Alligator mississippiensis: one gene and its partners. The protein of the gene in region 2 purifies or fractionates together with the protein of the main gene of each other region. This does not show direct contact. Links are inferred from orthologs where the notes say so. Each region holds a gene or a part of one and is shown on either strand. Other genes may lie near its edges. The genes, in order: PARK7, PRDX5 and PRDX1.

Region 1 (7,667 bases), on a different chromosome or scaffold from region 2:
AAGCAACACATTTTTCTTCTGTTAAAATAAACTGGAAAGTGTGGAAAACTGGAAATAATCTGGAAACAGTGCTGGGGCCCAGGACCGTATGAAGCAAAAACATGTACAACTTCTTTGGAATGACTTAACAATCTGTAGGGCGGTGAAATAGGAGCTTCAGGAGCAGGTAACACAGCAGGGTTGCTTAAACAAAGGATAGCTTTAAAAAGAAGACAAGTTAACACCTGTGGCATGAACAGTTTAGGGGGGATCCCATAAAATCAATAGATTACAATGGGCCATGGAGTGAGCTGACTTCCTTAGCACAGCCTGACAGGAAATGCTGCTGCCACTATCGAACAGTTGGTTTTAAACTTCGAGTGGAATTACAAAAAAAAAGGAAAAAAAGTGTGTGTGTGGGGGGGGGGGAGCAGGAAGGAGGTTCTGCAAGTGCACCAGTGTACACCTTCTGGATCTGTCCCTGATCAGGACTACAAATTAACAGTCCCTAACCCTATTTTAAACTTGCCACCCCTAGGGCTTCGTTTTCCTGCGCAGAAAAGGGCACGCACGTCAGAGGCGGGCTCTGGTTAAGTCAGCGCTGATCGAAATGTCGGAGTGACATTCTGTGGGCCCCAGCATGGCCCTCACGCCGCAGTGACGCCACTAGGGCAGGGCACCTCGCTACAGGCCCGCCCGATGCCGCGAGCAGGGCGTAACGGCACGGCCACGTGCCACCTTCACAGACCCAACGGCCTGCCCCGGTCCCCAGCCCAGATCAGGCCCCTGCCCTTCACCAGCATCGGAGAGCCGGAGCAGCAACACCCACAGCAGACCCACGCAGGGGGTGGGCGGAGCCTTCCCGCACCGCCATTGGCTCTGCGTGCCGTGGGCGGAGTCTAGCGGCCCCAGACGTCTCTCTCCGCCTCCGGGCCTCGGAGGTGGCGTTGGGGAAGCACGTCAGAGTGGGCGTTTCGCCTCTGCGAGCCTCCCCCGCCGCTTCCAGGGGCGCTGCGCTGCGTTGTAACGCTTGGCGGGGGCCTACCCTGTGCCACTCGCTGCCTCCCCCCGCGAGCCCGTGCTGAGCCGTCAGCAAGGAGACGCGTGGGCGGACTGTGAGCAGCGGACAGAGAACCAGCAGCTCCGCGCTTGGCAGCAGTGCGGCCGGGCCGGGGCCTGCGCGCCCGAGTGAGACCCCTGCGTGGGCGGCGCGGATAGAGCGCAGCTCTGCCCCGCAGAACAAGGCGCCGGGGGAGGGAGCGGGCCGTGGGGACGGCGCCCTGCAGGCCTAGAGCAGGGCGCGGCGGGCTCCGGGCCGGGCGGGGACGACCCCGCATGAGTTGTCGCGCGGAGGAGGGGGCAGCTGCGCTGCGGGCGTGCTGTGCAGCGCCGCCCACGGACGGCCCTGCCGGGGACTCGCAGCTCGGGCGGGCCTGGAGGCGAGGCGGTGGCGGGAGGGCGGGCTGGGATCCGGTCGCGTAGATGCAGGCGCCGAGCCCGCGGGGCGCTGGCCGGTGGCTCCGGGTTTGCCACCTCCCGCTCCGCACCAGCTGCGGACCGAGAGGCGCCGGCCCGCGCAGCACCGCGGGGGCCTCGTGGCGCCCTCTCCCCGCACTGCCTGGCGAGGGAAGGGCACGACCCGCAGTGCCCCGAGGGGCGCGAGTCCGGCCCACGCCGCGCCCTTCCTGCCGAGCTGCGGGCCGAGGGTCTCCCAGCGGCCGCTGAGCCGTCTTCAGGCGGGACAGCTCCCGCGTTACCCGAGCTCCGCGCCGGCCGTGGTCTTAGCAGGCCGGGCAGCCGCGGGCCAACAGCAGCTCGCGGCCGCTCAGGAGGGGAGGGAGGTGCTCACGCACACGGGCCTGGCCCGGGCAGCAGCCACGCTTGTCCGCGGTAGGGTCGGCTGGGGCGGGCGGCATAACGGGCGCGGGCTGGGGGGCCGCGGCTGTCGGGAGCCGACCTGGTGCGGGGCGCCCCTGACCCGCAGCTGGCGCCGCTACCCCCAGGCCGCCGTTGCTGCTGCCGGGGGGTGGGAGCGCTCCAGCCTGAGGAAAGGAAGCCGCGCAGACTGCTTGGGCCGGGGCCTCTCTGGCTGCAGCTACTGGGGTCGACCCGTCAGTCGCCGCGGGGCGGGGCGGTGGGCGGTCGCTACAGCTCCCTCAGGCTCTGGCCGTGTTAGGTGTCCGACGCTGCCCGGAGAGTCACGGCCCTGCTGCTCAGAGGCTGCTTTAAAAAAATGCTACGGGTCTGGGAGCCTTGGTGAAACCTTTGACAGGAAAGGCTGTCAGTGTCTGTCCAGAGGAGGCACCCGGGGCTCTGCCCTGAGTCCCAGATTGTTTGATATCCTCACTAATGGTTTGGAGGATGGGATCCATGCACGAAGGTGACGTTAAGCTGGGTGGAGCTATGGGTGCTCTTCAGAGCAGGACTAGGATCCAGGGTGACCAGGACAGACTAGAGAAATGTCCTGCAATCAGCTATATGAGAATTGACAAAAAGTGTGAAGTCCTGCACCTGGGATGGAATAACTGCATGCAGAAATATATGCTGGGAAATGGCTGGCTGGGCTGCAGTGCTTTAGAGAAGGAGTTGGGGGTTATAGTAGAGCATGCTCTTTTTTTTTTTGCCGCGAAAAAAAAACCCAACAGCATAGGGGTCTGTTATCAACAGAAGCATCACTTGCAAGTCAAGGGAAGTGATTCTTTTGCTCTATTCAGCACTAATGAGTCCTCACTGGGAGTAGTGTCCAGTTTTGGGCCCCACACTTCACAAAGGATGTGGACTGATTGGAAAGTCCAGCACAGGGCAGCAGAAATGATTAGAGGCCTGGAAAGCACTACTTATGGGGAAAGGCTGAAAGAGCTAGAGTTATGTAGTCTGTAGGGGGGGGGGTGGGGGAGGATTTGATACCAGTCAAATTCCTGAAGGGACAGGATTAGGGGGACAACATTGATAAACTACAGTAGAAGAAATTTAGGTTGGTGATTAGGAAAAACTTTCTGACTACTAGGGTTGCCAAACATTGGAAAAGGCTACCTGGGAAAGTTTGGGAATCTTCATCTCTGGAAATTTTCAGGAGCAGGTTGGACAGATGTTTGCCTGGGATGGTTTAATCAGGGATGATCCTGCCTTGAGCCCTCATGAGGTCTCTTCTAGCACTCCTTTTCCATGATTCGACTGATGTAAGGTGTATCTTTAAAATTAACAGTTTATTGCACAGTAATTTCAGTCCAAGGTAGAGTAGAAGAGGCAGTTCTTCTGGCTGGGAATGAACACACAGGAAAAAAAATAGCTTGCTTCCTACTGATTTTTTTTGCCAATGCAGAGCAGAAAGAGAGCAAAGAAGAGTGTATCAAAATCAAGTTGAAGGAATCCTATTCCCCTGAATTCCTGCAGCAAGGTGACTAATTTTATGTCACATTTGATAAAGCGCCCCCCCCCCCCCCCCCAAATTATATGCATGTTGGGATGGAAATTCCCTCTACTGGAAAAAAACCCAACCTCCTGCTAAGAGGTTGTGCAAGTTATGAAATGAGTCCATGTGCATTGGTCATCATTGTTGCCACCTTGTGATTTTGTGTGTGTGTGTGTGTGTGTGTGTGTGATTATCAGAAACTTGATAATCACACACACACAAAATGTTACTAAATACTTTTACTACATGCATGTGAGGTGTAAGGTAGGTGCAAGACCAACTGCTCTCCAGAATCTAGCCATCCACTTAGGAGCCTGTTTTTTGTGAAAAATCTTACCCCCAGTTTGTTCTGTTCAGTCACTTTAGGGAAGATATGCACCTTCCCCTCCCCCATTAGATTGGGGAAATACCAGAAAATCTATTAATCAAACATTTGGTGACACTATTGGTCATGACAACTCACAGGAAACTCCTGCAGACTACTGTCAGGAAATGAAGCTTCAAATATGAGCTGAACACCCAATTAAACCCACTTAACAGTGTAACTAACCTCGGGTGGGAGTCATCATCAGTCTCTCTCTGTGGGTGAGCAGTCTGATAACCAACCTAATGTCTATTTTAAACACTAATGCTGGTAAATGGCTGTCATGTAAAATTGTGTTTAGTCCAAGATTCTCTTCCCAGCTCTGCACTGGTGTCCTGCCATGCAAGCTATTTAACTCCTTGGTGTCTCAACTTTCCTTTATAAAATCAGATTATAGTTGCCTAATTAAACACTGTTCTGAATCTTCACTAAATCTTCTAAACTGTGCTGATATGGGGCTTATCTGAAAAATGAGACAGAGATGCCATACTTTATTACCCTGTGATGCACTTTGGTTGTGCTGTCTCATTCGAATAAACTGTAAGGATGATCTGACCCAAGTACTCTGTTAGGAAGTTCCCTCATTTTGTTTCCAGCACAGCAGTCCAGAGCCTCCCTTTACACTTCCTGTGGTACAGCATGGGCAGAGGAACTGGTGCATGTTGTATGGTGATGTCTGAGTTTAGGATAAATCTATCTGGGCAGTTCAATTTCTAATGGTCTCTCCTTTGTCTTGCCTAAGCAGAGTATTGGTCCTTGTATGCTGGAGGCTTCAGTGCAGCACTGGGACATTGTGGAAAGTAGAGCATCTTAGTGCCAACAAAACATGTCTGCAAAAAGAGCCTTAGTAATTCTGGCTAAAGGAGCAGAGGAGATGGAAACTGTTATCCCCACTGATCTTATGAGAAGGGCTGGAGTGAGTATGCCAACCACTACAATCCCTTGAGGTCCCTCTGAAATCAAAGCTGTTCTTTTGAATCAGTCTTCAAGCAGCCCGTGCACTGTTCCTTATTTTCTTTACCTGTGAGGTACCATGCATGTCTAGGGTATTTTGACCAGTATCAGAGAGTGAAAAAGAAGGAACTGAGTAATGCGCTATATACAGTTAGGGCAAACATCCAGAAGATCATGAGCAAAGCCTGCCAGTGGATGATGAATCCTTTAACAGATTTACTTAGTCTGATTCTTCTGGAATGTAAAAGGCTCTGGGTTGAAATGGTCCCTGACTAGGGTTGTTCAAATGATGAGTTATTGAATATATCTGTTAGACCTTCCAGACTACGAAACTCAATATCACCACAGATGTTTCTCCCTGACTGTTGCTTTTATAGGAGGGAGACTTTTGGAGTGAGTTTGTCTTCACAGCTCCACTTTCACTTGGTTTAAATGACCTCTTAACTAAAAGATACTTGTGAATACTATGTAACTGACCCCTGCAACTTTCCAAAGCAGGCAATTTTCCTGAGTCCTAATGCTGTCTGTACTTCTGATAGATCAAGGTCACAGTTGCAGGCCTAACAGGAAAAGAGCCAGTGCAGTGCAGCCGAGATGTCTTTGTTTGTCCTGACACCAGTTTGGAAGACGCCAGAAAAGAGGTTTGTCCTGTTGATTTGGCATGTTGCTTAACACTGGCCTTTTGTGGTTCACAACAGACTTAGAATTATATTTATTTTCCTTCATTAATGTTCTGTTAACTCACTCCTTGCAGCAGCAGCATCACATGCTCAAAGATACATTCTGCAATTTTCATAGAAATCTGTCTGGCTAGCATTTTTTTTCTTTATTCAAGAAAATACTAAAGTTTTGCACAACTTGTCACACTCCATCCAGACACTTTAAATATTTTACAAAATCAACTCAGACTTTATTTTAAGGTGTTACCCAGACACTGAAAAAATAGGGTGACTTGTATAAACAGAGAGCCCTTGCTTAGGAAGGAAGCGCAGTAACAGGGCTGTGTCGGGAGCTTTTGCAGCACAGCTCTTGTGATCACACTGAAGCACTGACATTCACACTCTAGGGTACTGAGCTCACCCACACTCAGACTTCTTGTTGGCAGAGGTTGCTTTGGAACAAGTGTCTCTAACACTCTGGTGGGAAAGGAGACAATAAGGCACTCCATTAAGTAAATATTTTGGAAGTTCCCCAGAAATTAGGATTTATCTGTTACTTATTACAGTATATTCTCACCACTATGAAGGTAGGTCTTCTCCATGAACAATCTTGATAACACACTAACAGAATGGTGTTTCTTTAGGGGCCTTATGATGTGGTGGTCCTACCAGGAGGTAATCTAGGAGCTCAGAACTTGTCAGAGGTAAAAGACTTCTCTTCAGCAATACCAAGGCCTACCCATCTGATGGAATGCTCTTAATTCTTTCAGTGATGCTTCTTTTTAGCTTCTACTTCTGCAAATTTAGTTAAATATTTTAGAGCAGTGGTGCCCAACATTTTTGGCAGGTGGGCTGGATCCAGCTGGTGGTCCCGATCCGGCTCCTGGGGCAGGAGTAGCAGACCCCATCTGACTAGGCAGAAGGGTCGGGGGCAGGCCAGCAGTAACCTGGCCCTGCAAGGAAAAGGAGCCAGACCTAGTCCCATGGGGGTAGGGGGAGGAATGGGGCATGGCTCAGCCCCAATCTGGCCCTGCAGGGGAAGTGAGCACAGCTCAGCTCCAACCTGGCACTGTGGAGGAGGAAAGGAGGCATGGCTGGGCCCCAAACAGGCCCTGCAGGGGGGAAAGGCGGTGTGGCTCAGCCCCTAATTCAGAAGTGGGAGGGAGGGGGTGTGGACCAGTCCAAGGGTGGGGGGCACCTTTTGGGTTTGGGAATTTGGTAGGAGGGAGGGTGGCTACATTGATGACCACTTGTCCTCTGCCAATTTTCTGGACCTTTGTAAGCTAATCAACTGTTAAGCAGCCTGGCCCTAATTACTCTGAAAATAAGGAGGTGCTTTCGATTCTTAAGGTGTGGAGATGCAATAATTGGTAAACAAAGATTTAATGCAACAAAGTGTAAAGTAGATTGAAGCCATAAGCACTTGAATTAAACCAGATGTCCATTCAATTTGCTATGCTTTCTCTGACAGTGCCTAATACTAGATTCGTTGGGGGTAAAGTCTAAGAAACTTGTCTCCTGTTTGGCTTTTTTAATCTTACCGTGGCCTCAATAGGTTTAGATATTGGTTTCAGCCATCAAATAGGAGGTAAATAAATATCCCTTCTAATTGTTACCTCTTGTTGCTTTTGAAGGTTCTACATTTACAATTTCTTTTAAAATCTGTTTGTTCTATGTTATAAAACAGAAGGACTGAAGTTCCTGTTTTAGTTCTCATTTCTTGATTTATATTTTTACAGTAGAAAATGTATCTTGACTTGTCATGTTAAAATAAATCATTATGTAAAGTGATACGGTTTCTTTTATGCAGTCCTCTGCTGTTAAAGACATCCTGAAGGACCAGGAGATGAGGAAAGGCTTGATTGCTGCCATTTGTGCAGGTGACGAAATATCTTGCATTGTATTAAAGTGTTGTCTGGACAGGTGCCTCTTACAAATCTCTGTTACTCAACTACTTAGTAATAAAAGAAATTCAAATGCCCACTGATCTAGCAGAAACAAGCAGCTCTGTAAACCACTGCGACACTAATCTTGCAAGGTGTCAGTGTTTTTTACATCTGTGCTGGTCTCTTCAAAATTTAAGCTGCTCTAAAATACAGGGTGTAAATGTAATGTGCTAGGAGGTTCTATAAAGTATTTGCTTATCATAGCATTATCTCTGCCAGGACACATTCTGCTGGCAGGACATAGTCACGATAGCTTTCTTGGGTATAATATAAACATGGGCCTCTTGCCCTTTAGCTTCAGAAGGAAGGTTAAATTGTCACAGGGCATTCTCATAAGCAAGCAAAAGAAAAAA
Region 2 (7,903 bases):
GGGTCCGGCCCCCACCACCATGGGACCCGTTTCCACCCTCAACCCTACCTCTGACTGATCCAATCCCAACCTGGGGGAGGTCTGGACAGTGCCCAGCACTCCCCCCACCCCATTCCAGCCTGGGGTGCCTGGACAGCACGCCCTTGATCCTGGCCTGGGGGGTCTGGACAGCACCTGGTACCCCCTGAGCCCAGCTTGGGGCAATCCAGAGCCCCCTACCCCACCACAGCCCTATACCCCCATCTCGGGGCACGGCCCCCAATCATGCACACACAGGTTGAGCTGAACAGAGCCATTTATTCCAGCAAAGTGGGGGTGCAGGAGGCGGGGCCTCAGCAGCAGGGGCGGGGCCAGAGCTTGGGGGTGGAGCCTGTGCACCCCCTACAGGCCCAAATCAGGAGCTGCAGCAGCAAGATGTGCCCCTACCCCTTGTCTCAATGGGGCTCTTGGGTCAAAACTGGGAGTATGGGGTGGGGGGCCCAGACGCCTGGTCCCTCACAGCTGGGAGAGGAGGTTGCTAGCCAGGCTGCAGGTGAGTCCGGTGCCGTCGGCTTCCACGTTGAGGACTTTCACCACCCCGTCTTCCACCACCATCGAGAATCTATGGGGATATCGGGGGTCAGGGCTGAGGGGGGTTCCCCAGACCCTTCCCCAACCCCCCAAAGCACCCCCACCTCCCAAAGATCCCCTAAACCTTCAACAACCCCCTTATCCCCCCCTGCTATTGGGAACCCCCCACAAGGACCCTCAAAACTTGGGGACCCCAAAGCAGTTAAGGGGACCCTACAGACCTTGGGGTCCCACCCTGTGTTCTCCTATCACCCCCCTTCCCAGCTGCCACCAGCGGCCATGCTGCATGCTGGGAAGGGGGGCTGCAGGCACATGTATAAGGGGGACTTGTTTTGGGGGCACCTCACCTTTTGAGGCGGTCATTCCCAAAAAGCTGGCGCAGCGGGTCCTGGTTCAACAGCAGGTCAGTGGCCTGGGAGCAGGAAAGAGGGGGGCTCAGCAGGGGAAGGGAGGAACCCAATCCTGGCCTGATGCCCCCCTCCCAGGTGCCTCTCACTCCCACACCACAGCCCCCTGCCGGTGTCCCTTACTCCTGGCCCACAGCCCCTGCCAACCCCGCTCAGCCAGTACCCCTCATTCCTGACCTGCAGCCCTCTGCTCCCCTGCCACCCCCAACTCTGCCAGTGCACCTCACTCCAACCCACACCCCCCTTACCTTCCCAAAGGCCCCGGTGGGGTCAGCCAGCATCCGCACCTGGGGGGGGAGGGGAAAGAGGATTAGTGTGGTGGGGGCAGAAACAGTCCCCACATGGTTACACAACCCCTTGTTACGCAAACCAGGGCTGCCAAGAATGGGGGTGGCCCAGGAAGTTGAGTCAACTGCCCCAGGCAGGGGTGGGAGGGGCAGTGGAATTGGGCAAGGGCAGGGAAAAATCCTCTCTCTGCCCCTGCCACTGGCTTGCCACCACCACACTCCCCTGCCCCAGCCCCCAGTCAGCTGCCCCGTCCCTGCTCCACACAACCCCCCATCCTGCCCCCCATGCCCTCCTCACCCCACGGACTCCAACCCCCCTCCCCTCCAAGGCCACCCCCACCCCTGCCTCAGTTCCCTCACCTCCAAAACACCGCCCACCCCTAATGCTGCCCCCCCCCTCAGCCCTCCATCATCCCCTGAGGCCCCCTCACCTTGCCCTGGGTGCCAAGAGCTTTGCCCCACTCGCTGACCACAAAGACATCGTTGACGGCCAGGCAGGCGACCAGGTCCACGCCTCGGCCCTGCAGCTCCTTGGCCTCTGCCACAAACCCTGGCAAGTGTGTCTGGGGTGGGGGGGCACACATGGGGGCATCAGGGACCCCCCAGAGACAGTGCCCACCAGCCCCAGTCCTGACCCCACGGGGCCCAGGGATATAAGGGGAAGCCTATCCCAGCCCCCACAACACTTTGCAAGCTTGACTTGGTGTGTTGGTGGGTGGGGGGAGCAAAGGACGTTACAGGGGATTTCCAGGGGGCAGTGGAAAATAGAGGGAGCTGCGGGGGGCAGGGAAGGGCATGGGGGAACCTAAGAGGGACCAGGAAGGTATTGGGTGGGGTCTGGGGGGTGTTGGGGGGTATGGGGGAGTAACCAAGGCTGTAGAGGGGGACTAGGGCAGATCAGCGCTGTGGGGGGTCCAGTGGGGCTCTGACCTTGCTGCAGCCAGGGGTGAAGGCGCCGGGCACCCCAAAGAGGACACCCTTCTTGCCCTGGAAGAGCGTGGCCAGGTTCACCTTGGTGTCAGGGTCCCCCTCGAACACCTCCACGCTGGGCAGGCGGTCTCCTACCTGGGGGGGAAGGGGGAGGTATGGGGGGGTCCCAGCACAGCCAGGACCCCCCCCCAACAGCTCTGAAATCCACTATGGGAATCAGGGGGGGCTGGGGCTGCCAAGGGGAAGCAGTCACATCCCCCCCCGCCCCCCGCACCGGGCAGCACCTCAGCCGCTCCCTGGAGTTTCCCAGTGAATTGCACAACGCCCCCGCCCCGCCCCGCCCTGCCCAGCATTGCCAGGAACACCCCCCCCCCACACAGAGACAGAGCCCTGCCCCCAGCACAGTCTGTGCCCCAGGGCCCCCCTCCACATCCCTTCCCCCCCTCCAGCTCCCATGCCAGGAGACCCTCCAGTGCCCACATGCCTCCGACCTCCACTCTGTGCAGCTGTGGGGCCTCAAAAGACCCCAGATCCCCCCATAGCCCCCCACCCCATCTATGCCCCCCCTTCCCCCATGGCCTGACCAGACCCCGCCTGGTTGTGCCCAGCCCCCCCTCGCCCCTGGATGCCGCAGGACCTGGGGGGGGTCGGTCACTGACCCCCCCCACCCACCATCTTGCCCCCCCAACTCCAGGGACCCGGGGGAGGGAGGGGGCTGCACCGGGGGGCCATGCACGGAACAGGGGGCCCGGCTGCCCTCACCTGGATGGGCGCCATGGCAGCTCCTCGCGCTCCTCCAGCCGGTCAGTTTGGGCCGGACCTGGACCTGGGCCTGGGCCTGGGGGGGGCCCCGCCTGCGGCAACCCCCCGCCCCCCGCTGCCATGACAACGCCCTGAGTGACAACTCCCACGGAGAGAGATCACTTCACGCCCCCCACCCCCCCGGTCAAGGCGCAGCCAGTCGCGGCTGATTTGCATCTCATTTGCATGCGAGGGGCTACTCAATCACAGCTGATCGGCACGCGGCGGGGGGGCAGGGAGGAGGGTTTCAATCACAGCTGATTGATATAACTGGCTCGCGCGTGAGGAAATGAGGGGACGATATTTCACCACGGCTGGTTTGCATCTCATTTGCATATGGTGCAAAGGGCGGGAGGGGTGGACTTTCAACCCGCCCACACACGTTTTGATTAATTTGCATACGATTTACATATCGTTTGCATATCTCTCCCTCCCCCCCGCCCCGCTAGAGTATTCGCCTACTCTAACGGGAAGACGCCGGAACCAGAGCGTGCCGGAAGCTTCTTTCTTGGGATTTGGGTTTCCCAGCCGGACCCTCCCGAATAGCACACCACGGCCGGAAGTGGTGTCTAACGGACACACAAGACGCCTGGACCGGCAGTCACCCGGCTTCCGGCGGGAGCGGAGTCGGCGGCGCTGCGGGAGGATGAAGCTCCTGACGCACAACCTGCTAACGTCGCACGTGCGCGGCTTGCGGCCCGGCGGCGGCTACCCGCTGGGCATCCAGGTGCCGTCACCCGCCCCTTCCCGCCTCCCACGTGGCCACGGACGCTCCTTCCCTCCACCTGGACCCCCGTAGCCCCGCCCCCACGTGCTCACTGCGAGGCCTCCCGTGATCTAGCACTACCCCCACGTGCCCCGCCCCCGCCCCCGCCCCACACGTGGCCGGCCCCGTCCTCTTCTGCGCGGGGGCACTTCCCGCGAAGTGTACGCCCCCGTAGCCCCGCCCCCCAGGCGCCCATGGGGATCCCCAAGCCCCTCCCTCGTGTCAAGGCCCCGCCCCCGCATGGCCTATTGCCGCCCCCAGCCCGAATGACCCCGTCCCCTTTTAGGCCACGGAAGTGAAGCTGAGCCCCGTGGACTTCAACGCGCAGTTCGTGGCGCGGATGGTGCCCAAGGTGCAGTGGGCGGCGCTGCTGCAGGCGGCCCAGAGCGTGAGTGAGGGGCGGGGCTTAAGGTGGGAGGGGCTGGGACCAGGCAATGAAGGGGACATAGGGCAGTGGGGTGGGCGTGGTTACTCAGGGCTGGCCCCTCCCCCTGCGGGTGACTCCTCCCCCCTCTCCCCCCAGCTGGGGCATGGCTCTGACCTGCCCCCCGAGCCCGCCCCCGGCTACGAGAGCGACGAGGACTTCCTGCGGCGTCTGCACCACGTCCTGCTGGAGGTGAGGTCCCCGATGCCCCCGCCACCCTTCCCCGCACATAGGTGCCCCCATTTGCCCACCCCATGCAGACTCTCGCATGGACCCTGGAAACCCCCAAGACATCCCCCACTGGTCCCTAAGCTGCCCCAGACCACCCATGGGCCCCCACACCACCTCTATGGCACCACGGCCCTCAGCACCCTCCCCTGACTTCCCGTGCCCTCTCCCCCACCACCACAGACTGTCACAGGGACACTTGGAAACCCCTGAGCACCCCCATGGACTCCTAATGCCCCCTCCTGCACCCCACACACAGGGCCCCCCCATGGGCCCCTATACCCTCCCCCACCCCCTACAGACCGCTAGACTCCCCCAGACACCCCCTCCCCCAGGGGTGCCTGAGCACCCTGCCTCCCCCTTACCCCTGGGGTTGACAGCCCCTCCCAGATCCCCCTCCTCAGCTTGCTGCGGGAACAGGGGTAACCCCCGCCAACACCAGGGGTGTCACCCCGAAATCCTTCCCCCACACATGTAACCCATCTCCCCCAGACTGCTGTGGATGCCGAGGGGGGGGGGGGGGGGAAGCTGGTCTCCTGCCTGGGAAGACTCCAGCCCTGCCTGACCTCTCCCTTACCCACAGGTGGAGGTGGTGGAAGGCATCCTGCGCTGCCCAGACTCGGGGCACGAGTTCCCCATCACCAAGGGGATCCCTAACATGCTGCTGGCTGAGGAGGAGACCTGAAGGACTGGGGCGGGGGCAAGGGGGGGCAGGACGGGGTGGGTTTGTGTGGGGGTTGGGCTGGACTATGTCTGTTTGCATCAATAAAGCTCGGTTGGGTTGAAGTGGAGAGCTGTGATGTACTGTCCCTGCCTCCACTTCCAACCCGGAGCCCCCCCAATGAAGACACAGCGACCAGGGGTGTCCGAGATCTCCACGCTTTATTGGGGCGGGGGGGGGGGGAGCCCGCCACCGCCCCCGAGGTATTTAGCATATGTACATCTCCATAAATTAACCCAGGCCCCACCCCCAAGCCCTGGTGGGAGGGGACATGGGGATGACCCCCTCAGCCCAGATGGGGCTATTGCTATGTACAGAAGGGTTATTGCTTTGGGGGGGGGGGTCCCTGAGACCCTCCCCAAGCTGGGGATAGGGGGGCAGTCCTGGGGTCCCCAGGGGAGATCAGCCCTATCTCCCCCCTGCCAACAGTGCCCAGGGCTACTTATTGCTTTAAGGAGGGGGACCCCCATCCAGTGCTGAGCTCCCTTCAGGCCCCCCTGAACTGGTGGGGGGGGGGGGAATCAGGGGTCTATGGCTTCCAGGGGTTTGGGACTTGGCTTCCCAGCCCTGCCCCCAACAGAATCTGTCCTTCTGTCCAGCCCCCCAGGGACACAAGGACCCGTGGACCATGCACCCACATCTGCCTCCACCTGGGATGGGTGGCCTGGCCATGGGTCAGCCCTAAGGCTGTCTTTCTGTCTTGCCCCCGGATCCCTCTGTCAGTCCAGTCTGTCTGTGCACCCTGGTCTGGTCCAGTCCAACTGTCTTGCCTCTGCTCCCACCCAGTTGCCCGTGTGTCCATCCACTATCCCCCACTTTCCACCCCAGTCTGTCCGTCCATCACCCCTACCCCTGCGCATCCGTGTCTGGCCTTCAATCCATCTGAATGTCCAGCTCCTGTCCAATGGATCTGTGCGCCTCACCCCCCCACCCCAATCCCCGTCTGTCCAGTCCATCTGCCTCCGTGGGGCTGTCTGTGTGTCTGGCCACACCCCCCTGCCCCCCCCCATCTGTCCCATCTGTCTGCCCCCAGATCCATTGGGGGTCCCTGAGGAGGAGGGGAAGGGCACGTGGGTCTGCCTGGCCCCATCCATCAGTCCATCATGGCTTCCAGCATCTCAAGAAAGAGCTTGTGGGGGGGACCACGGGCACCAAGCTGCAGCCGCTGCAGGTGCCGCAGGGCCCGGGCAGCTGTCTGCCGCAGCAGGGGCAGCGTCAGCAGCAAGCGCCCGGCACGGCCCGCCCCCCCCAGTGCCGCCAATGCTTCCAGCAGCCCGTCCCGCAGCCGCTGCACGCCCGCCCCATCTTCCAGGTGCACCGAGTCTGTGCACAGAGGGCAGAAGTCAGGGGGCCTGTTCCCCTGCAGCCCCACGGTGCCCCCTCGTTCCTGACCCACAGTCCCCATGCCCCAGGGGTGCTCTGCAAGCACCTCCCAGCTCTGCCAGTGCCCCTCATTCCTAACCCACGGCCCGTGCCTGTGGCGCCCCTCACTCCTGACCTGCAGCCCCTTGTCCCCCACAACTCACCAGCATTAGCCAGCGCCAGGGCCTTGAGCAAGACGAATTCCTCACGCTGCAGCCTCAGGGCCCGGTACCGTGCCAACAGCTGGGCCAGGGCAGCGCCCAACTCGGCCAACCCGGCCGCCCGTGCCCCCGCCCCATCCAGCGCCAGGTCCTGGGCGAAGACCAGCGGGGGAGGGTCGGGCCCAGCTCCCCCGGGCAACGAGCGCCAGGCCACACCCAGTACCAGCACCTCCAGCCAGGCTGCCTGCAGCAGACTCATCTGGTCTGGGAGGGAGAGCCCTGCAAAGCCTGGAGGGCATGGGGGGCAGCATTAGGGGATGGTGCGGGTTGGGAGTGAGGGGCAGGGGAGGGGGGCAGGGGTCAGGTCTCACCGGGGATGTTCTTGGCCCAGCTGATGATGACCACGATCTCGCGATCTGCCAGGTCGCACAGGGCCGTGGCCACGCGTGGGGGCCCCTCAGGCAGTGCTGGGTCAGGCATGGCCAGGAGGGGCTCGGGCTCAGCCGCCAGCAGGTGGGACACCAGAGTGGGAAGCGGGGCTGGGGGGGGGCAAGAGGGGTCAGGGTGACCGCTGACCCCTACCCCCCCAGCCCTGCTGGTACCCCTCACTCCCAACCTGCAGCCCCCCCCAGACCCGTGCACACTCACTGGACTTCTTGCTGGCTGCCATGATGACAGGGGGGGCAGGAGGACTGAGGTAGGGGGTCCCGTCAGCTTCTGAACAGCGCTTGTATTTCTGCCGCCCCCCCCGGACCCGGTCCAGCCGCACTCCTGGGGGGAGAACAAGGGGGTCAGGCGGTGGCCTGGACCCCCGCACTGGAGCTGCCAGTGTCCTCACTGGGGGAGCCACAGCTCCTGCTCCCCCAGCCCCCCACACCTGACCCACCACCCCTGCCGGTGCCCCTCACCCCCATCCCGCAGCCCCTACCTTCCCGGAGCATGCCAACGCGCAGGCACTTGGTGAAGCGACAGGCCTGACAGGCCTTGCGGCGCCGCTTGGTGATCTCGCAGGCGCTGCTGGCCGGGCAGCTGTACTCAATGCTGCCTGGGGAAGGGGGGGCTGATTAGAGAGGATGGAGGATCCCCCACTCCCACCCACAGAAGACCCCCAGCAGGAGCTGTGACTCAGGAGTAAGGGGCACCAGGGAGGGTTCTTGGGGCCCAGAAGATGCCCTGTTCCCACCCGTGAGAGACCCCCTTGGGCCAGGAGCACGGGGCACCACTGTGGGGGGTGGGCTGCGGGTGG
Region 3 (7,677 bases), on a different chromosome or scaffold from region 2:
TGCACTTGGAACTGTTCACAGCATGAGTGCCTCAACTAAGGCACCGTTTCTCAACCCGGGGGTCACAACCCACACGTGGGTTGCAAGAATATGAAAGGGTCATGAACAAACTTCAAAAGGAGAAGCCATTTAACATGGAAAAACAACATGGGAAACTGCATTTTCCCTTGCAGATTGGCAGAGCTCCAGCCTGCGAGAGGCTGCCTGGGGTCCCCCCTGCCCCACACACTGGGGACTGGGCATCAAATGTGGGTCCCAGTACAAAAGAGGGGCGAGAACCACTGAACTAGTTCAATGTCTCAAGGATCACAGGCAGCTTTGTTTTCAGAAATGCATTTAAAACAGATTTAAGCCAAGCAGAAGAGCCATCCTTATCCCCACTCCCAATCACAATTACAAATTTACCTTTATAGTCAGAAAGCCTGATGTCTTTGAACTGCCCATCCGGCATTACAGCTGTAGCCTGGAAGTCAGGAGCTGGTTTCCCTATAAATGCGTTCCCTGAAGACATCTTGATAGGAGCTAAAATGGAGACACAAACATAACTTGGACACATCTTCCCCTTAAGTGTCTAAAGGGAGTCAGAGTCATGATTTTGGTCATCTCTTAGCAGTTCCTACTAAGCACAAAATACTGGTGGTTTAGTTTGCTACAGCTTTTCTTAAAGAAAAAGCTTGGACATCAAAAGGCTCAGCCGACATGACAAGTAGCAAACTGCTCCCTCCAGTTTCCTTTATTTCATACTTTGTACAGAAGCACGGAAGAAGTGCAGCCCACGCAGCTATACAGAGATGCTTGTGAAAGCAAGTCATGCATTCCCCCTTCACTCAAGTAGTCTCGGGGGAAGTCTTCCCTATCGAGGGCACAGAAACATTAGTGTTTGAACTTCGGCGGGGTGCAAGTTATCTGGAGTCCTAACACAAGTGCACGAGCAGAAAGAGCTAGCCATCTGCTCTTCCACCAACAACAGTGCAATTCCCACATTCACCGTGTCAGCATAACGGACCCTGATCCTATCCGCACGCTGCGTCACAAGGAAGTTTCTCTGTTCCACGTTTCCTGATAAGCAGTTCAAGACCTTGACCGCTGGCTCCATTGTCCTATTGATTTGAAGCACATAAATAACACTTGCTAGGCTTAGGAAGAGCAAGTCTTACATTAGCTAGTCCAGTTTGAGGGATACCAACTTCCATGGGATGTTAGCAAAAGCAGAGACTTGACACTACTATGCAATGCAGCAAAGGCATCCTGCTCTAAAATATCCAAGTATGAACATGTGCTATCCTGGTAAGCGCGTACCAGCTTCACCAAACTGTTTAATGTCATTGCAGAGCCATAGTAAGAAACCTATCAAATGCATTATCAATGAGGCAAAACTAAGGGTAAAGAGAAACTTGTGTGTAAGAATAGAGAACTTTTCTTAGTCCAAGGAAAACTGGAAGTTTTAATTCTTTAAAAGTGTCTTCCTTTTATTTCAGAAGTATTTCATACTTATTTTGGCCTGGGTAAATAATTGCCTTCGAAGAGGCTGAACCACCCGGTCAAGAGGTTCAATGGTTGGGCCTCCACACACAACAGCCTAGAAGCAGGTTTTGTATCCAGGGATACAGCTCTGCGTGGATTTAAGAGCAAAGACTCCAGGCCTCTTAATTTCAGAGACAAGCAAAATCTAAAAACTTCATTAACATATTCCTCCAGGAAAGCGGAAGATTTTATACTGGGCGTTAGGAACTGCCGCACTTGAGACTGTAACGAGGAAACTTGGTTACCATTCCCCACTACATTTGCTTGCTCCATAACATCCACCACCTTCCCATATTAAAATTATTTTTAAAAACAAACAGGTAAAACCACAGCATTTCCTGACCAGATGGGTGTGCAGACATCTCAGGATTTTTTTAGTTATACTTCCTCTTGCAGTACTTAAAAAAACAAAAAGTGCAGATGGGCACGGTCTCTAGTTCTGCCAGTTCTTTAAAAGCTGCAACTCCAGTAGTTCAGTTTAATCCTCCCCCCATCCAGCAAATCTCTTAATTAGACAAGAGGTTTCTCAACCATCATTTAACCCCAGGTGACTAGGTGGGTCCCACGGCACGGCCACAACTTCACCAAAGAACGAAGGGCATTTCATAACCCCCAGGAAGGCATGTGCCCACCGTCCTCCAGAGCCAGCGGGCCTGCCAGCTGCCAACCCCACCCTGCAACCGGGCTGCTTCTTCCACACGTTCAGCTCCATCCCTGCCAGAGCCCCGGGCTGAAGTGTTAGGATTAAACATCACCTGGGCTAACAGTTTGCCCGGCCTGGAAACCAGTGTCGTGAGCGCCAAGCCTTGCAAAATCGTAAGGCAAGGAGGACTGGAAGGGAGGTCACATCTAGCCCACCCCGCTGCTCACAAGCAGGGCCATCCCCAGCTGCGTCATCCCAGCCAGGGCTTTAGGTCTTAAACTCCCGGGACGGAGATGCCGCCATCTCTCCGGGCGGTCATTTAGTGCGACGGCCCCAACAACAATGTACCTCCTGGCATACAAGTGTGAGCGTGAAGACTCTCCCAGCAGACTCGCTGCCTTCTTCGGGAGAAAGGTTTCCCAACATCCAGCCCACACGCCCGCCTCTCTGCAGCCCGTTCTCCGGCGCAGGGAGGAGAGGAGAGGCCGTGGGGATGCCCCCCTTCCCCCGCGCTCGTCTCCTCGCTGCAGGAGCGGGATGCTCTTCTCCGGGCCGGGGCCCCAGGACCAGGGAGGGAGGGAGGGAAGGGGGGGCTGGGTCAGGCTGGAGGCAAAGCATCGCGGCCCGCACGCGAAGCCGGGCCTTTTCCCCCGTTGTTAAAGGCCCGGCTTTGCACAGGAGACAAACGCAGAGCTGCCCGGATCAGCACCGCCCGCAGCGGGGCTGCACTCACCGGCGGGCGGACAGACGAACGGAGCGGAGCGATGCAGTGCGGCGCAGCACGGAACGATGCAGTGCGGAGCGGTACGTCGCAGCACGGAGCGCAGCAGGCAGCGGGGCGGAGCGGGGAGGGCTCCGTCTTTATATCGCCCGGCTCTCGCGAGCGGCGCGGGGCGAGGCGGGGCGGGGCGGGTCCTGCCCTTCCCACGCGCCGTGCCCCCGCCCCGCCTCGCCCCGCCCATCACTCTGCAGCGGGACACCCCGCCGCGCCCCCGGCCGGGCGTGTGTGCGCTCGTGTGATACGTGTGTGAATCGCGTGTGCATACAGTTTCATGGTTCATATATGTATTGTGTGTGTACATATAGATGTGCGTGCATGCGTGTCTGCATTGTGTGTGCATATAGATGTGTGCGTGCATGTATTGTGTGTACATATGTGTGTGTATCGTGTGTGTGATATATGTGCATTATTATATATGTGTGTGTGTATTGTGTATGCGTGTCAATTATGTGTGTGCACGTGTGTGTACGTGTGTGCATGTATTGTGTGTGTGCATGTGAATTGTGTGTACATGTGTGTGCATGTATGTGTACGTGTGTGTATTATGTGTGTATGTGTTGTATATGTGTGTGTGTAAGTATGTGTATCTACCCACCAACACCCCCAAAACATGGTTATATACACTTACCGTGTTTTACTAAATATGTATATATTTACCAACACCCCCAAACCATGGTAATATATGTATACCATATATGTATGTTACCATGGTTTGGGGGTGTTGGCTATCTATCTATCTATCTATCTATCTATCTATCTATCTATCTATCTATCTATCTTTTATGTATTTATTCCTTTATTCACTATGTTTTACCAAACATGTATGTTTGCACAGTCTGGATTACCATGTCGAGGGGGTGTTGGCAGTAGCCGCGTTGGTCTAGGAACATAGGCAGACAAGGTTCTCCGTCTCATAAAAGATATCACATTTACCCAAATAACCTTGTCTGCCTACATCTATTTTTATACATGACTATATCAAAATATATGCATACATTTATACACGTGCACACATGTATACGAGCAAAACCCTTTCACCCTGCTAGCAACGTTAGAAGGCAAACGTAAGCCGTACTCTGTTTCTTGCCTCTGCTCTCACGAATTCGGCTCCAGCGGTCGGCGCAAGGCGAGTCATGTGATGCAGGGTTAAAATTAAACAATGAAGGCGATCTCTGAGCTTTGACTTGGCTGCCTAGCAGAGAATATTGAAATACTTTGGCTGCTTTATAGGACACGGAGGAGCTGTCGGGACTAATGATCCAACTTCTGAAACTTTCATGAGAGTTATGCAAAGGTCTTTTTTTGTGGTGCGGTTTAGGCACAGCATTGAGTGGAGCGAGAAAATACTTGGAGGCAATCTCAGCAGTTGTAAGACTGGCTTTAATGGGAGTTGGCAATGCCTGTTTATTTCTGGGCTGCACTGCCATTTACTTACCATGTATTAAAACATTAATATTTTGCCACGTAAAGGAAGCCATCAAAAGGCATCATTTTTAAACGTCAATCAATATTGGAAGACGATAAAAGTAGATTGTACTGGAACCTCCAAATTGCCGTATATTGCAAATATTTCAGAACCTGCACAGCCAAAGGATTTCTGTAGTCCTTACCATTAAGATTCAGACTCATTTATCTGTAAATAGCAAATATTTTGGTCATTTTACTGACAGCCATAGGGGCACAGCCAGGGTTCAAATTATACTTTGACTCTGGGGGGGTCTGCAAAAAAAATTGGGCTGCCCATTATGATGCCCTAATAAAACTGAAGACTCCCCAAGTTTTGATTTTAAAATCTTACCGGGGGGGGGGGTCTTGTCTTTTATGGGGGGCTCAGCCCTCCTTCCCCCAAACTCCCCTGTAAATCGAACCCTGGGCACGGCCATGTGTATAACGTGCCCCTGAGTCTCTGCGTATGAGGGACTGGACAAAGACGGTTGTCTGAAGAAGGAAAATTGTTTGAAAGTTAGTATTTTCTTTAAACGGTGAGCATCTGCCCTGAATTATTGCACATTTCGGCCTCTTTCATGATTATCTGTCATGCAGGAGTTGAACGTGGTGTACAAATACAATATGTATGTCTGGCAACACTGCCGTCTGCCTGCGTGAGCCGCTACGATTCTCGCTGTTGCGTGGTGTTCTTGTGCACCGATGAACACTCGTTCCGATCGGTTTTAGCGAGGACTGTCTTTTGGTACTGAGTTTATTTTTCTAAATGTTAAAAACAAAATGCACTCGCTTGCACGCCGCCTCTGAAGTGCTTTAGGATCCTGGAGGCTGCAGCGCGCAGTAGAAACCTCCTGAAAACATAGGCCAGGGAAATGTGTCTAGGTTAGCACGTGGCAAGCCAGGCAGTCTCAACGGTGGCGAAAGAATTGCTGACACACGATGCAACTCTTAGCAGTGTAGCTGCACCCTAACATGGATCAACCCCCCTTGCACAAATCAGGAGCAATTTTCTCGGGCTACTTCTCTTCTGTGCACTTCCAAGCGCGGGGTCTACTCATTTGTGTGGAGCTGCCACAGTGCAATTTGCCCTCGTTTGCTCTGAGCGTTGCCTTTCCGTTCACACCTCTGTGTCCTCAGGTTGTGTGTGGTATTCTGTCGTTTCCTTCTAAGCCGGTCTCTTCATCATCTGCTTCGGGGGTTTGCGGTTTGCTTGTTTTTGGGTAAGGAACCAGTGCTGCATTGTCAGTGGCTGCTATTTCCAGATAAAGGAGCGTGCTTCTCCAGCGATCTGGTTACCTCACTGTTAGGTGGGGGCATGTCATTGCTACGACAAGCTGAAGCCTGTTCTGAGCTCCTTGAGGCAGCAGAGTGAGCTTACTTGCTGGCACGGAGGAGATGGCTGGTACCGCTGTGATTGAGAAGAATAGGAATCTGTGGGCTTTACACCAATACACACAAAATTAAGCCCAAAAGTTATTGCTAGGGATCCCAATTATTATTTAGTGGTTTTAGCTACCAGAGTCCCTAGTCAGGAATGGGCCTTTTGTACCAGGTAGTACAGAGATACAAAGATACAGTCCCTTTCCCAAAGACATCACGTTTAAATCTAAGGGTCCAATTATTTGTTAAAGAAGAGCAAAATCCTGGCTTGGCTATAGACATCTCAGGGCTCTGCTGGTGAAAGTCTTCCAAGCTGTACGGTTCTCAGGCCTGTAGATGTGCCTATTCAATTGATGCGCTCAAGAGCGAATTGAGCCATTTAGGCCTACTAAGATGGGCTTTGTGAATGAGAAGTAGAAGCTCTGGAATTCAGTGTAAAAACAGGTGAAATCACGGGTTTTGAACACACATTTGCTTTTCCTTCTTTAATTGAAGTGATCGTCGTGTTTTCAGATCAAAACATACGGCCTTTCCTTTTCTTTATCCATGCGCTCTCAATGTTACGTTTTTATCATCATCGTATGGGTCATGACAGTCTTTTGATGACAAAAATGTGCCGTCTTCTGACAAAAAAGGATATAATTATTTCCTTTTTGTTCCATATTGAATAGTGTTCTAATTGTCACATTTTTTATTTATTTTGACATGTTCAAGTATCCTCTACTGTACTATACTATACTATACTATACTATACTATACTATACTATACTATACTATAGTGTCCAATAGCAATTTTCTTGGCAATAACTGTCCATAGTTACTGTTTCCAGGAGGACAGGCACTTTGCTTATCTCCTTTTCTTCCACTTCACTCTTTCCTCCCCTGCCCTCAACATTATTTTATCTTTTCTTTCCATTCTTTTTTTTCCTTTGCACTATCTTGCTGCTGCTTTTTCAGTCCTGTAGCTATAGGAAGCTCCATGGAAAAGTGCTCCTATATGAGTAGCCAGTGGGGTTAACCTTGAGACTCTACTAGGTTTGCATCAATTTGCAACGAAGAAAGAAACGGGTGGAACGACCCCACCACGCACTTCCAGGCCTGGTACAGTGAGGAATTTGTTGGCATTTCATCTTTAAATCCACCTGCTTTCCAAATCCTCAAAGTTTGTAACTTAGTTGTAAATGTGGACATCTAGAGAAGAAAATTACAGCTGTGTGTGATCTTCAGTCCTGGCCATCTGTAGCGACAGGAATGCAGTAAGCATGGGGGTATTTCACACACACACACAACGCCACATGCTGCTCTCTTAAGATCCATTCAAATGCTGCCTTGGAGGATCATACCTCCACAGTTCAAATTTGCATACATATCAGTCAGGTTAGCCTTCCTTTCAGCTTCATTGTATAAATAAGGAAATGCATACCTGAGGATGTGTGTTGAACAAATATGCCTTTGTTCTCTCAGTACACTAGTTCCTCGTGCAAACAATACCCCAACAGCAAAGTACCTGACATTGCACTTTTTGTGGAATCCAGTGACTCCAACCTATGGATTTCTTGCCCTCCCCTTTGCAGAAATATTGTTAATGTGATCAGGGTCAATGGAGCAGAAGAAAGACTTTTCTGGAGAATTCACACAAATATTATTGCCCTTAATTTAAGTTGAATCTGTGTGATTGTGTTTGAAACGTCTTTAAAAGTAGCTGGGAGCAGTTTGTTATGCCCCTGAAAATATTTTTTAGCTCTTTCCTAGTCGTTTAGAAATCTGAATCATTGAAACCCCCGGCCTGTGAAATAAGAGACAAAGAAAAGAAATAGTAAAAGCTGAGTCATTTTGCATCTGCACATATTTTGCCGACAGCAGCATGACAGGATGTACATGAATTGATTCAAAGCTGGAGGCC

Evidence for each region.
Region 1: the proteins of PRDX5 (region 2) and PARK7 fractionate together in Homo sapiens (co-fractionation; 3 studies listed by BioGRID). This does not show direct contact. The link is inferred for Alligator mississippiensis from reciprocal best matches to the Homo sapiens genes PRDX5 and PARK7.
Region 3: the proteins of PRDX5 (region 2) and PRDX1 fractionate together in Homo sapiens (co-fractionation; 3 studies listed by BioGRID). This does not show direct contact. The link is inferred for Alligator mississippiensis from reciprocal best matches to the Homo sapiens genes PRDX5 and PRDX1.

What each region holds. Positions count from the first base shown.
Region 1 is NC_081836.1:20,167,847-20,175,513, forward strand, and holds the start of PARK7 (Parkinson disease protein 7), read left to right. Parts: upstream 1-4,576; 5' UTR 4,577-4,581; coding exon 4,582-4,671; intron 4,672-5,248; coding exon 5,249-5,350; intron 5,351-5,520; exon of another isoform or gene 5,521-5,845; intron 5,846-6,012; coding exon 6,013-6,072; intron 6,073-7,178; coding exon 7,179-7,248; intron 7,249-7,667. UniProt on the Homo sapiens protein: Multifunctional protein with controversial molecular function which plays an important role in cell protection against oxidative stress and cell death acting as oxidative stress sensor and redox-sensitive chaperone and protease.
Region 2 is NC_081838.1:4,439,807-4,447,709, reverse strand, and holds PRDX5 (peroxiredoxin-5, mitochondrial), read right to left. Parts: upstream 3,065-7,903; 5' UTR 2,972-3,064; coding exon 2,957-2,971; intron 2,330-2,956; coding exon 2,195-2,329; intron 1,828-2,194; coding exon 1,696-1,827; intron 1,265-1,695; coding exon 1,226-1,264; intron 983-1,225; coding exon 918-982; intron 602-917; coding exon 496-601; 3' UTR 278-495; downstream 1-277. Other genes in the region: TRMT112 (multifunctional methyltransferase subunit TRM112-like protein), read left to right, coding at 3,642-3,722, 4,048-4,149, 4,285-4,377, 4,997-5,098; ESRRA (steroid hormone receptor ERR1), read right to left, coding at 6,228-6,457, 6,661-6,945, 7,029-7,196, 7,306-7,428, 7,586-7,702. UniProt on the Homo sapiens protein: Thiol-specific peroxidase that catalyzes the reduction of hydrogen peroxide and organic hydroperoxides to water and alcohols, respectively.
Region 3 is NC_081828.1:2,605,303-2,612,979, forward strand, and holds the start of PRDX1 (peroxiredoxin-1), read right to left. Parts: upstream 3,011-7,677; 5' UTR 2,901-3,010; intron 523-2,900; 5' UTR 512-522; coding exon 406-511; intron 1-405. UniProt on the Homo sapiens protein: Thiol-specific peroxidase that catalyzes the reduction of hydrogen peroxide and organic hydroperoxides to water and alcohols, respectively.